Linked DNA regions of Tamandua tetradactyla. The main gene of each other region encodes a partner of the protein of the gene in region 2 in a complex. Links are inferred from orthologs where the notes say so. Each region holds a gene or a part of one and is shown on either strand. Other genes may lie near its edges.

The links.
Region 1: the proteins of NPR1 (region 2) and NPPA are in contact, whole or in part, in a crystal structure (PDB 7BRG), measured with the Rattus norvegicus proteins. The link is inferred for Tamandua tetradactyla from reciprocal best matches to the Homo sapiens genes NPR1 and NPPA. Residues at the interface, in NP_036745.1 of Rattus norvegicus: Asp90, Val115, Tyr116, Ala119, Pro120, Arg123, Ala139, Leu140, Gly141, Ile142, Val144, Tyr148, Tyr182, Asp184, Leu186, Gly187, Asp188, Asp189, Arg190, Phe193, Phe194, Val196, Glu197, Tyr200, Met201, Arg204, His213, Gln214, Glu215, Phe216; in NP_036744.1 of Rattus norvegicus: Arg126, Ser127, Ser128, Cys129, Phe130, Gly131, Gly132, Arg133, Ile134, Asp135, Arg136, Ile137, Gly138, Ala139, Gln140, Ser141, Gly142, Leu143, Gly144, Cys145, Asn146, Ser147, Phe148, Arg149, Tyr150.

The regions. Positions count from the first base shown.
Region 1 is NC_135328.1:213,613,927-213,620,394, reverse strand, and holds NPPA (natriuretic peptides A), read right to left. Parts: upstream 1,741-6,468; 5' UTR 1,675-1,740; coding exon 1,552-1,674; intron 1,438-1,551; coding exon 1,111-1,437; intron 544-1,110; coding exon 532-543; downstream 1-531.
Region 2 is NC_135330.1:6,498,501-6,505,837, forward strand, and holds the start of NPR1 (atrial natriuretic peptide receptor 1), read left to right. Parts: upstream 1-4,243; coding exon 4,244-4,961; intron 4,962-5,689; coding exon 5,690-5,889; intron 5,890-6,308; coding exon 6,309-6,422; intron 6,423-6,833; coding exon 6,834-6,969; intron 6,970-7,337. UniProt on the Homo sapiens protein: Receptor for the atrial natriuretic peptide NPPA/ANP and the brain natriuretic peptide NPPB/BNP which are potent vasoactive hormones playing a key role in cardiovascular homeostasis.

The DNA.
Region 1 (6,468 bases), on a different chromosome or scaffold from region 2:
TCAAAATAAGAGCTCTTAAGATCTCCCGGGTTTTTTTCAGGACTCTTGACTGGGGCTGAGCAGAAGCAGTGCAGGTTGAAAACTGCAGTTTGAGGCAAAAAGGAAAAACGAGGAAAAGAAGAAGGGATAAAGGGAGAAATAGATGGAGAAAGGAATAAACAGGGCATTCTCTCTAACAAGGAATATCGGGTTGAATTCTCTCCCCCGGAAACAAATCACACCAACTCAAGCCTTTGCCTTCTGTCCATGGTGCTGAAGTTTATTCATTTTCAAACTGCTTTCAGTAACAGGTGAGAATTTACCCTAAAATTTAATGCATGGGTGGGAGACACAGGATGCCACAATTAAACTGTTTTTATCTAAAGTTAGCATAAAAATGCAAGAAATGTTGACAGGAAGCTGCAGCTTGAATAAAGTGCTCATCACAACTCAACTTGACAGTGAGATGGGACAAGGTTGCATGAGAGACCCAGGGATGAAGGTCTCTCTCTCAGTGTGCAGGGGCCTGGCCCACCTTTTCCTCCCTGGCTGTTATCTTCGGTACTAAAAAGAGAACAGAGAAACAAAAGTTTGGCTTGGTGACCTGGCTTTCCTGGAAAAGTCGATCTAAGATGACTGTGCTAACTCACTTAACTTGACCCCTGACCATCTACTCCCCACTTGCCCCCAACTCCCAGACTGATGACCCTTTGCGTTTCATGATTGGTACACAGTCTACTCATGAGAAGTCAATGAAGGCAAACTTTGTCAATTTCATTTGCTATTTCGTGTTCTTGCATTTCTAAGGGAGGTTCCCCTTTCCCCAATACATGAACTACCAACGAGCAGTTCACAATGCTTGCCTTGTGAACATTTCAATTTCCCAGTGTGAGTGAAAGTAGCTTTTTGTTTACACTTTATCAGCACGCTGTAGCTGAGGATGCTGGCATCATCCTGAGACTCATGGGTCACCCATCAAATCAGAGCAGAAAACTCAAATGGAACAAACTTCTACACTGGTTCCTTTCCTGCTGAAGTTTCCCCCAATGGTGTTCTTTGACAAGGTGTGAGCCTCAAAAAAGCTATAATTTCTCTCCTCCCTATCCCATTCCCATGTCCCACTCCACTTACCCGGAAGCTATTGCACCCCAGTCCACTCTGGGCTCCAATCCTGTCCATCCTGCCCCCAAAGCAGCTGGATCTCCGCAGGCTCCGAGGGGCAGTGAGCAGAGCCCTCAGCTTGTTTTTCAGGAGGGCAGATCTTTCAGAGGAGTCCCACGGGCCCCGCCCGAGGGCTCCCCCATCTCGTTGGGCTGAGCTGAACTCTCCGGTCCAAGGAGGCACCTCAGGGAGCGGATTGAGAGCTGCACCAGCCTCATCATTCTGATCACTTAGTACTTGTGGGGGCACAACTTCATCTTCTAAAGGCATCTTCTCCTCCAAACGGTCCAGCAAATTCTTTACAAAGGGAAAATACAGGGAGAGAACTCACTGACTTGGAGAAAATCAACAAGAACAACCCAGTATCAGAAACCCCCCTGGTCCAAAACTGTGCCCCTCTCTTGACCCTACCTTGAAATCCATCAGGTCTGCATTGGACACAGGATTGTACACAGGGTTAGCTCTGGTTTGATCTGGAATCTGAAATGCCAGAAAGAAGAGGAAGCCCACAGAGATGGTAGGGAAGAAGCCCATGCTGGAGTGGGTCAGTGACCTGATAATGGCTGCCTCTTCTATCTCTTCTCTTCTTCCCTTGTTCGTCCTTCGTTTGTCTCTGTCTCCCAGCTGCCCTGTGCCTCCTCTTTTTATAGCCCCTCCTTCCAGCTCTCTGAGTGCACAAGAGAGATGGAACCCTCCCCATTCCATCACTTGCAGCGATAAAGCAGCTGAGTGAGGAGCCAGCAGAAGATGCCCTTTTAAAGTTATCAGTCCAGCAGAGCTTGTCACAGCCCTCAACCTTGAGCAGCCCCTACAACCTCCCAGACCCTCAGCTGCAAGAGCCACATTCTTGTTGATTTGCCTCAAGAGGTTCCCACTTCAAAGGTGTGAGAAGAGCAAAAAAGAATCTTTGGCTATCTCACACCGATGCCTCAGGGTTCTTTCTCTTGGGCAAGGGGACCCATGCGGGGAAGCAGTGGGTGAGGATTGGCCAGCACCCAGCTTCCCCAGTTTGTTTGTGGCTCAGCTGTCAGGGGCTCCAAATAAGGGCGGGAGGGGAGGAAATGGCAGGCAGCTGACAGTTCGGGACAAATTAGTCCAGATGCTCAAGCTGACTTCACACCTGACTCATCAATGGGAACGGGCAGACTTCTTGCCTCGAACAGGGCTGCCCTCATTCCTGGCAGTCACTCCCAGCAGTCAGGTGAAGAGGGAGCTATTTTTTAGAGTACTAAGTCAGCCAGAAGCCAAATGTTATGAATGTTCCAAGTTCAGCTCCCCATATAAACACCAATAAAATTTGGGGAACATAAATTTTCTCCAAACTCTTCCTCTTCCACACATTTCCACAGCACCCCCCACCCCCAAGGTTATAAGGATCTAGAAGCTTAGAGCATCCTGATGTTTCATTTGCTGCATATAGAAGCTCAGACTCTTTAAGTCTGAAGGTACAATGTTCTTCCATCACCTTTCCAGGAAAGCTTCAATGGCGAGTTGGCTGAAGGAGTGAGATAGGAGGCGAATGTAATGCACAGATTCCCTTAAAGTCCTCCGTGTTGTTCTCCCGGTCCAAAAACATGACTGGACTACTTAGAGCTTCAATTTTCCTGGCCCCTGAAAGATAAATACGAGGCAGCAAGGTGGTCTGCATTTAATGAAGGCCCTTCCCTCCATTTGCTAAGCACTGCACGTTAGTATACCATTCAATGCAACATACAGATGGTGGGGGAAGGGGAAGATGGGGACACTAAATTGGATGGGTTTAGAACTTTGCATTGGTAGCCCAGTTATACGAGTCTGTGGGCCTTAGCTTCCCCCTTTGTAAAATGAGGGAAATGTAAAAACCTGCCCTGCTCACCTCACAGGTGAGGTTTGAACAAGCTAATGTCTGAAGGCATTTTGAAGTATACAGTTGCAAGGTCATAGGAAAGGTAGCCCTTCTTGGTGAATTATGATGTGCCAGCCAGTGTGCTGAGAGCTTCACGTGGATTATTTCATCTTCATCACAACTCCCAGGAGGTAGGTAGTACCGTCGCCATATGAGGGGACAGAACTGAGACTCTGAGAGGTCGTGTCAACTGCCCAAGTGGCAAAACCAGGACTTGAGCCCGGGTCTGATCTTAACACCTGGATTCTTAATCTATTTCAAGTATACGTGACATGACAGTTCCCAAACAAGCTGTTAGAGATTGAATTGTATCCTCCCAAAAGACCTGTTCAAGTCCTAACCCCCAGACCCATGAATGTGATCCCATTTGGTAAAAGGATCTTTGAAGATATGATTGAGATGAGGCCAAATTGGAATAGGGTGGACCCTAAGCCAATATGATGCTGACCTTCTAAGAAGGGGAGATTTGGACTCAAGGAGAGAGAAAATAGCCAGCGATGGAGGCCGAGATTGTTATGCCATGGATTGCAGACAAGCCACTGCCAGAGCCCTAAAGACTTCAGAGAAAGGATAGCCCTGATGATACCTGCAGATTTCAGACTTCTGGCCTCCAGAACTGAGACAATAAATTCCGGTTGCTTTAAGCCACCCAATCTGTGGTACTTTGTGATGGAAACCCTAGAAGATTATGAGACACCCTTTAGGAGCAGTTTTCTGATTAAACACACCTCCATTTCCCATCTTTCTAAGTACACGTGGGCAGCTCTTTTGTGTGTTTTGTGTCTCTGTGTGTTTGGGGTGCTCTCCTTTTGGACGATCTCAAGGAAAGGGCTACATCCAATCCCCATGACTTGTTTATACACCTAATGTATTTTTATCTATTCTGTGGGAGCTCAGAAAATGTGTGTGAGTGGCCAGTCTGGTCCTGGTCAAATCCTTCCCCAGCTGTGCACACTCCCTGTTTGACCAGATGGACAGAACGCTACACTATGATAAAGCAGGGAAACAGGACCAAGAGTGGTCAAAAGTCACCAGAAGCATGCAGGGCGATTTTATTCTAAGACTGAGGGAAAAGGGGACCCTCTTTAGCAAGTTTGGGGATTTGGGTCACTAATTTGGCAAGCCAAACTCAACTTGAAATCTGAAATGGATGCGATTCTGAATAGGAATTCTGGGGGGCAAAAAACGTTGTGTCCTGATCAGTTCCTGGAATGTATTCACAGTGTAATTGCCCAGTTGGCAGAGTTATTATTAGCAAAGGAGATCCAGCGAGCAGCCTCACTGGGAGGAACTGGTGCTCCTTGCTGCATGCGTCACACAGCCTGTCTCCTGGAGATGCCCTTTGAGACAGACCTTTGATGCAGGCAAAGACTGCCAGGGTGGCATCATAGCAATGGCTATGTCTCTGAGGGCCACTGCTGCTTCTCTGTCCTGAGCCACTTCTGAAGTCTGCAGGTGGCCCAAGAAGAAGTGGAAGTCCCACCCCAGGTTCCAGAAAGAGGATTTCAGAATTTCCCCACTTCCTTTAGTTAAGGTCACTTTTCCTTTTCCAGAGTGAAAGCATCGTTTGTTGAGTTTCTTCTATCAACCAGGTACTTATTATTGTTATCATTATTGTTATTTTTGGCAAGAAAAGGGATATTCTGTTTTGCTGCTCTGAAAGCTTTATGCAGAACCAGCCATGCCACCTGCCCAAACAGGACCCAGCAGAAACACAGAAAATCCTCAAATGCGTGGATCATCCCAAATCACATTAAAGCCCTTGATTTCAGCCTGAAATGGAAAATGACTTGACGTAAAGTTTCTCTCTGTTTCCATGCCCCTGCTCTACTTCGGGGTGTGTGTGGAGGAGTTAATATTTAAGGGGGTGTTCAAAAGTCAGCCTATAGGAATGAGAAAGAAGAAAAGCCAAAGACACAAAAATCAGACCCACCTCCCACCCCCATGTGTCCCACCAGCTGAAAAATCAAAAGCATCTCTTTATCACGGGAAAGAAGGAGTCTTAGTCATATGTGAGCATTGCAAGTGGGTGAGAGAACCCAGAATTTGAGCATCTCCCATTTCTATCCCAGAGTTTGCTTTCCCACCCCTCCATGAGGTCCCAGAAACATCATTCGTGAGCAGAACTGGAAGGAAAAACTGTCACATTCATGACATGATTCTGTTAGAACCAAACAGTCTAGAGCAGAAGACTCAGTGGGGCGAAACTGGGAGGACACCGTTGCATACTTAAGAGATGGGTGTTTCCAGGTGTGAAAGTGATGCTGTGTGTGTTTGGTACCATAAGGAGGTCACTGGGGACTGGAAGTTGGGGGCAGGGCCCAAAGCAGAAGAAGGAAATAGGTAAAGCTACTTCCTCAGCTGGATGGCGAATGTCAGTTCCTCAAAAAAAAACTTAAGCTTGAGGCAAAAGCTCACTTGCTAAGAGCCTTATGGGGGTTCTGTTTTAGTCTGGTAAAGCTGCTGAAAAACATAATGTACCAGAAATGGGCTGGCTTTTAACACTGGGAACTTATTAGTTTACAAGCTTAGGGCTCTGAGGCCACAAAAATGTTCAAATCGAGGCACCGTTCAGACCATACCTGGACTCCTCTGTCAGATGGCAAGGCGCGTGGTGAAATCCACTGGTCTTTCCCTTCTCTTCTGGGTTCCAGTGCTCCCAGCTTCTGGCTTCCTCTCTGTTTCTATGGCTTTCTCTTTCAGCTTCTGTGACCATCTCTCTGTCTTCTGTGTGTATCTCTCCCTGTATTTCTTTCTCTTACAAAGGACTCCAGTTAAAAGATTAAGACCCACATGGGGCATGCTTCAACTGAAATAACCTAATCAAAAGGTCCCACCCACCACAGGTCTACACCCACAGGAATGGGTTCGCTTTAAGACCATGATCTTCTGAGGTTCTGCAGGTTCTAATCCAAGGGAAGTAAGAGTGAAGGAAAAAGATAGTGTATTAGTTAGTAATTACTGCGTAACAAATTACCCCAAAACTTAGCAACTTAAAAAAACCCACGTTTACTATCTCATTGTTTCTGTGGATTAGGTATCTGGAACTGCTTAGCTGGCTGCCTCTGGCTCAAGTCTCCCACAGTTAAGGTGTTTGCCAGAGCTGCAGTTATCTCAAGGCTCGGCTCGGGGAGACTCTGCTTTCAAGCACACTCCTGTGGCTGTCGGGAGGCCCCAGGTCCTTGCTGGCTGCTGGTGGGTGTCATGGATTGAATTGTGAGCACCTGCCCCAAAGACACGTTCAAGTCCTAACCCCAGAACCTGTGAATGTGAACTTATTTGTTACTAGGATCTTTGAATATGTTATGAGTTAAGGTGAGGACCTAAGCCCATAAGACTGGTGTCCTTATAAGGACAGGAAATCTGAACACAGATACAGAAACAAAGGCAGAGAGATGGTCATGTGACGGAGGCAGAGATGGAGTTATGCGGCCACAAGCCAA
Region 2 (7,337 bases):
TCTGAGATCTGTCCGGTAACTACTTGAAGAGTGCTTTGAAAATTATTGTTTTCATTCTTTGCTTTGTATATATGCTATATTATACACTAAAATTGTTTTTAAATTTAAAAAAATAATAATACTATGACCCCATACAGAGAACTTCAATATACCCCCACCCTCTCCCAGATACCCGAATTCAATTTTAACATTTGCCACTTTGACCCTATCATCCTCTCTATCATTTATCTATCCATTGGTCTATCGAGCATCGATCTCCTTTCGGAACATTCGAGAGCAGGCTATACACATAACACTCCTTGAACACATAATTCTTCCATGTACATTTTCTACAAAGAAAGATATTCATTTAGGTGGTCACCTTAAGTACAGTTATCAAGTCCAAGAAATCTAACGTTGATAAAAAGTTTACATCCTATATTCCAATTTTTTTCTTCTGTCCCAATAATGTCCTTTTGAGCCTTTTCTCCTCCATTCTTAAACTCCATCCAGTATCTGTATTGCATTCTAATTGTCATTATCTCTTTACTTTCTCTTTCTTTTTGTTTTAATTGTGGAAACATAAATAACAGGAATCTTGCCATCCCAACCTCTCCGGACATGCCATTCCGCCGGATGAATCACAGTCACAAAGCTGCGGTCCCTTCAGGACCGTCCTTTACCATTACCTCTCCCCTCATCTCAAACGCAAAACCCTTCACTCATTTTGCATTAACTCCCCATAGCCCCTGCCCCCCACCTCTGGTAACCTGGACTCCGCTTTCTGTCTCGGTGAATCTGCATATTCTCTGCTCTTTTATTTGTGGTTACCAGGGGCTTAAATTTACATCCTTAATCTATAAAAACTGTGTTTGCTTTGATACCAAATTCACTTGAACAGTACAAACAAACCATGTTCCTATACCTCTCCATTCCCCACCTTTCTGTAGTTCTCATCACAAATGGCATATTTTATACATTTGCCTTGTAGATCTTGTAGGAAGTAAAAAGTGGAGTTACCGATAGAAAATACAAGAGTACTGGTATTTATATTTACCCATGTCATTCTCTTTACCAGAGAAATAATATCTTTATTTCTTCACGTGGCTTCAATCAATTGTCTGGTGTCCTTTTCTCTCAACCTGAAGAACTCTTTTTAACATTTTTTGTAGGATCTATCTCCCTCAGCTTTTGTTTATCTGGGAATGTCTTCATCTCTCCCTCATTTTTGAAAGACAGCTTGCCAGATACAGAATTCTTTCTTGGCTGTCCTTTGCTTTCTGCAGTTTAAATATGTCTTCCCACTGCTTTCTTGCCCCACTGGTTACAGAAGAGAAATTGGCACTTAATCTTTTTGAAGGCTTCTTTGTGACATGTTGCTTCTCTCTTGTGACTTTCAGAATTCTCTCTTGCTCTTTGCCATTTAAGAGTTTGATTATAACACGCTGTGGGGCGGGCTCATTTAGGTTCATCTCATTTGGAGTTCACTGAGCATCTGGGGTGTGTAGTTCTATGTCTTTCATTAAATATGGGACATTCTCAACTCTAATTTCTTTGAATATTCTTTCTGCCTCTTTCTGTCTTTCTCTTCCTTCTAGGACTCCCACAATGTACATACTGATAAGCTAGAGGCGTCCCACAGTTTCCTCGGGTTCCATTCACTTTTCTTCATTTTTCCCTCTTTATACTTCTTGGACTGGATGATTTAAATGGTCTTATCTTCAAGTTCTCTGATTCTTTTGTTAGCTTTCATCTGCTGTTGGACATTCTAGGGAATTTTAAGTTTCTACTACTGTGGCCTTCAGCTCTGTTTGGTTCATCTATCATTTTCCTGATTTCCTTTCATTCTTTGCCTGTGTTTTCCTTTAGCTCTTTGAGCATATTTAGGACCTTTTTTTTCCTTTTAGTCTTTGTCTGGAATGTGCCAGGTCTATTCCTCTTCACTGATGGCTTCTAATGTTTTAATCTTCTCCTTTGCCTGAAAAACACTTCCTGTTTCTCTGTATGTTTTGTAATCGGTTGTTGAAACCCAGACATTTTGATAATTTAGGGTGTGATCTCTGGAATTTAGACTCTGGAATATCTATTCCTTAAGCTTGTGTCCGGCCACTGTTACAGCAGAGCTTTCTTTGGATGCCAGTAGCTAAGAAAAGGAAGGAGGAGGAGGAGGAAAAAAAAGAAAACACCTTTCCCAATCTTTGCACATTGGTCTGTGGGAGTGCTGCCATTTGGGACTAATCCATACAAGGAGTTTGGAGAATCTCTTCAGGCTAAAACCTAGGGGCCTCCCTGATCCTTTCTGTGCAGGCGCTGAGGCCCTGGGCATTCCCCATTTACACAGTTCCAGACAGGGCCTCTCTCCCAGGAAACAGTCTGTGCACAGCCCCAGGCACTGCGCTGTGTATCCTGCAGCCAATAACCCCTGGCCCCAGCAGTACGACTTAACTGCTCTCCAACAGCGTCTGTTGAACCTACCTGAAGTCTGAATTTGCCACCATTTGTAACATCTGCTCTAGACCATGATAATTTTCAAAATTCTCCTAAAATTCCATGTATAGAAAAGATACTTCACCATTCTAATGTTTCTGCACAGAATAACTTTCTCAACCTCTATCCTTGTTGAATTATTTCAGTTTGTGGATTTTCCTGACCACAACCCAGACAGAATTAATAGCCCTCATCTGAGCCCCTTGGCAATTTGTTCACTTTTGTGTTGTAGTGCTTATCCAAATTGCATTATCGCTGTTTGTCCCTAACAGAGCTCCTCAAAGGCACACATTTATATTCCTATTCTCACTAACGCCCTCAGCACCTGGCCGGGTGCTTGTCGCACAGTAGGTCCTCTGGAAAGGTCCGCTCAAGGGAGGAGGTTTGCTAATCTTAGGTACAGCCGAGGCGCTGGGTTGGCGACCCGGGCGGCACCAACCGGCAGGACTCCCGCTAACCAGTAGAGGGCAGGCTCGCCCCACCGCGGACACACAGCGCCCCGCCGTCTAAGGCCCAAGCCCTCTTCCTAATTTCTGCCTCCCACTGGTCATTCCCAACGCCATCTCCCGCCACCACCAGCTGCCCCTTCTTAGCAGTTCTCCCCAACACGAAACAAACCCACCCACATTCCGGGAGCCGCCCCGAGGCCGCACACCAGCTCCGCACACTCGCTCCGCACGCCGAGAACCACCTTCCTAAATAACCCTTCGGGAACTGAGCTGTTAACTCCGCCCTCCCCCTTGGTCTTTCTGCCTCGGCTAATCTGCTCCCTTCGAAAGACCTTGGGGAGGACCCGGGAGGGGAATCGTGGACGGCCCGGGTAACCGGGACTCTGGGTTCGCCTTCCACTGGAACGCCTTCTGCAAAAACGTGTCACCCTCCCGCGCGTCCCGGACACACGGATCCACACCCTCACACCTCTTCCTGCCGGGATCCCAAACCCGCAGGTCCTTCCCTCTTACCCAGACTGAGTCAGGTAGGAGCGGAGGGACGCGGCCACGGGAGGGGGGCGCCGGCGGCCCTCGGCTGCTCGAACACCCAGCCCCCCTTCCCCGCCTCTCCAGCGAGCCCCTCCTGCGGGCGCGCCTTCTTCAAGCAGGAAACTTGAGGCTGCGGAGAAGCAGGAAGAGGGTCTGGGGTGGGGGTGGGGGCGCCGCGGGCTGGGGGACCCCAGTGCACTGGAGACTTCGGCGTGGTGAGGAAGGAGTTAAGGATCCAGGATTGGCTCTTCTGTCACACAGGCGGGGAGGGGAAGCCGCGGGGAGGGAGGGTTCGGTGTTGGCGCAGGTCCTTACCCCCCACCCAGCCCCACCCCACCCCCCCGGCCGCCGGAGACTAGGGCCGGCCGGACGCCCCTTCTGGCACCCTCCCCGGGGCAGGCGCTCACACACGCACAAACACCCACACTCCTTCCCATTCCTCCCGCGCGCCCTCTCCCATCCTTCTCCCCCGCGCCCTTCCTCTTTCTATCACACGCGCGCACACACACACACACACACACTCACACACTCACACACTCGCTCACCCTCAGATCCTCTCGGCCCCGGCGCTCCTATTCTCGGTCCCACCTGCTCCGCGGCGCCCCTCGCGCGCCCCTCTAACGCCCGCCCCGGTACAGCCGCCCGCCGCGCGCCCTCCGGCCGCCAGACCCCGCCGTCGCAGCGGGGCCCCGGGTGAGCGCCGCCGGCGCTCCCGATGCCGCGGCCCCGCCGCTGAGCGGGTGGGGACCGACGAGGCCATGGTGCGGGCGCTCGGCAGCCACCGCGCCCGCTGAGCCATGCCGGACCCCCGGCACCCGCTGGTCGCCCGCCCGCGCCTGCTCTTGCTCCTGCCGCCTTTGCTGCTGCCGCTGCTCCGGGGCAGCCACGCGGGCAACCTGACGGTGGCCGTGGTGCTGCCGCTGGCCAACACCTCGTACCCGTGGTCGTGGGCCCGCGTGGGGCCCGCGGTGGCGCTGGCCCTGGGGCGGGTGAAGGCGCGACCCGACCTGCTGCCGGGCTGGACGGTCCGCACGGTGCTGGGCAGCAGCGAGAACGCGCTGGGCGAGTGCTCGGACACGGCCGCGCCGCTGGCCGCCGTGGACCTCAAGTGGGAGCACAGCCCCGCGGCGTTCCTGGGCCCCGGCTGCGTGTACGCCGCCGCCCCGGTGGGCCGCTTCACGGCGCACTGGCGGGTCCCGCTGCTGACGGCCGGCGCCGCGGCGCTCGGCTTCGGGGCCAAGGACGAGTACGCGCTGACCACGCGCGCCGGGCCCAGCCACGCCAAGCTGGGCGACTTCGTGGCCGCGCTGCACCGACGGCTGGGCTGGGAGCGCCAGGCGCTCGTGCTCTACGCCTACCGGCCCGGCGACGACCAGCCCTGCTTCTTCGTGGTGGAGGGGCTCTACGTGCGCGTCCGTGAGCGTCTCAACGTCACCGTGGACCACCTGGAGTTCGCCGAGGGCGGCCGCGACCACTACGCCGCGCTGCTGCGGAGCGTCCGGCGCAAGGGCCGAGGTGAGGGGCGCGCGCGGCCGTCGCTGGGCCTCGGGCCTGCTCGCTGACTGCCAGACGCTCCCGCCACTTTTCCCGCTCTCCTCCTCTCGGCTAGGCCCTCTCTTCGGGCGCCCTGTCCAGCCCCGGCCCCCTCTGCCCTTTCTGCCCCCGAGTTCCTAGTTCTGCCTCTTTCTGTCTCCCCTCTCTCCACGTTCCTCTCCTCTCCTCGCCCCACCTCGGTCCCACGGGCTCCTCTGGAGCTAGCAGGAGGGAGAAAATGCCCAGGCGATCCTAACACTTAATAGGCCCCCAGCTTAGCTCCCGTCCCCCTTTCTTCTCTTCCCAACAGCCTTCTCCCTTCCTCCAGCCTCTCCTTCCTTTGCTCCCCCACACCGTCTCCTCTCCCCGGGGGTCTGCTCTCCAACTGGCTCCTCCTTTCCCTCTCCCACCCCTCCTGGCCCCCCCTTCCCCCCCTTCACCTCCACTGTTACCTCCTCTCCCTCACACTCTTCCTTCCCCCCTTCCCTCCTTCCACCACCTCCTCCCTTCTTCTTCGTCTACCTCCTGCCGCATGAGGGGCTGCTACTTACTGCCATACAAGGCTCCACAGCCTCATACCCACCCACCTCCATCTCTGAGCTCCTGCTCCCCCTGCCCCCCGGGGGCCCCAGCATCCCACCCCCATGCCACCCTCTGCCTGGGACCCTGGACTTCTCTTTCTCTGACCTCTCCCCCCACCTCCCCCCCAGTTATCTACATCTGCAGCTCCCCAGATGTCTTCAGAACCCTGATGCTCCTGGCCCTAGAAGCCGGCCTGAGCGGGGAGGAGTATGTTTTCTTCCACCTGGACCTCTTTGGACAAAGCCTGCAAGGGGCACACGGCCCCACGCGGCACAGACCCTGGCAGAGGGGAGACGGGCAGGATGTCAGCGCCCACCAGGCCTTCCAGGTGAGCGCCCAGGCCGCGGGACTCTGAGCTGACAGCACAGCATATCTGGGGCAGAGTGTCTGAAAGGACTCAAAGAAAGCAACTCTTGATACTCATAGGGAGTTAGGTGATGGAGGGCAAAGGGTAGGGAGAAAGATGCAGAGGGCCTGAACGGGGATGGTTGAGAGCCTGGGGGCAAAAAACATCGGAGGCAGGAGGGTGTCAAAGTCCTGCAATCTGGACAGAACTTGGAGAAGCCTCCCCTGGGGCGCCTGCCCGGGAGCAGGCACCACCTCGCTGATGCAAGACACAGGTGCAGTCTGACCTTGAACTAAGCAGAGCGGCTCCGGGAGGTGGGCGTCCAGGTAGCCGGGCCCCAAGGTCCTAAGAGGTCTGGAGTCAGCTGCCAGCTCCCCCCTCTCCACTGACCCCTTCCTCAGGCTGCCAAAATCATTACATACAAAGAGCCAGATAATCCTGAGTACTTGGAATTCCTGAAGCAGCTAAAGCACCTGGCTCGTGAGCAGTTCAACTTCACCATGGAAGACGGCCTGGTAGGAGGGTCCCCTGCCCGGGGGTCTGCCTGACGCAGACCTTAGCTCCCACTCCACACCCTCTGCCAGTCTCCACCCTGCCCTCTCTCCCATCCCAGCCGGCTCAGGTCTCTTCTTCCCTCTCTTCCCATTGCTCCTGTATCCCTGCTGATGGTGGAGGGATGTTTTCAACTTCTTGAAACTCAGGTCCTCATTGGTAAAATGAGTATGACACCGTGCTGCCTGGCTAGCAGGACTCGGAAGTAGTGGTGTAAATGTAAAAGCATCTTCTAGGTCTAACAGCTCTGTCATGTGAGGGTGTAGTTTCCTGCTGTCTTCTTTCAAGCCTACAGCCCTCCCAGTCCCTTCCCCATGACGTCCTGCTCTGGGCCCCTTCCACCTCCACCCAGCCCAGCTCTGCCTGCCCCACAGGTGAACACCATCCCAGCGTCCTTCCACGACGGGCTCCTGCTCTATGTCCAGGCAGTGACGGAGACGCTGGCTCATGGGGGGACCATTTCTGATGGGGAGGGCATCACTCAGCGGATGTGGAACCGCAGCTTCCAAGGTCAGAGCCTGGAGGCATCTGGAAATGGGCTGGGGACAGGGACGAGTCACAGGTACCCCAGCAGGAGGCCGTAAGAGGTCTCTAGCCCTGCCGCACTGTCACCCACACACTTGTCTTCTGCCCCTTTCCGTAAGGAACTTCCACAGCTTCCCTCAGGTTCTCCTTCTCTTGTCTCCCCTAGTTCCACCACGAAGCCTTCCCACAAGCAGTCAACCCCAGTCGTTCTTGCTGCTGAAATGTCTGACCCTTTTATCATCATTCACCACGTGTACACGTTTAGAGGGCATGACTGAGACAGTCACCAGATGGAGAGATGGGGACGGGCCGGGGCACCCTGAACTTCTACTCTCTTAAAACACAGCCACCTT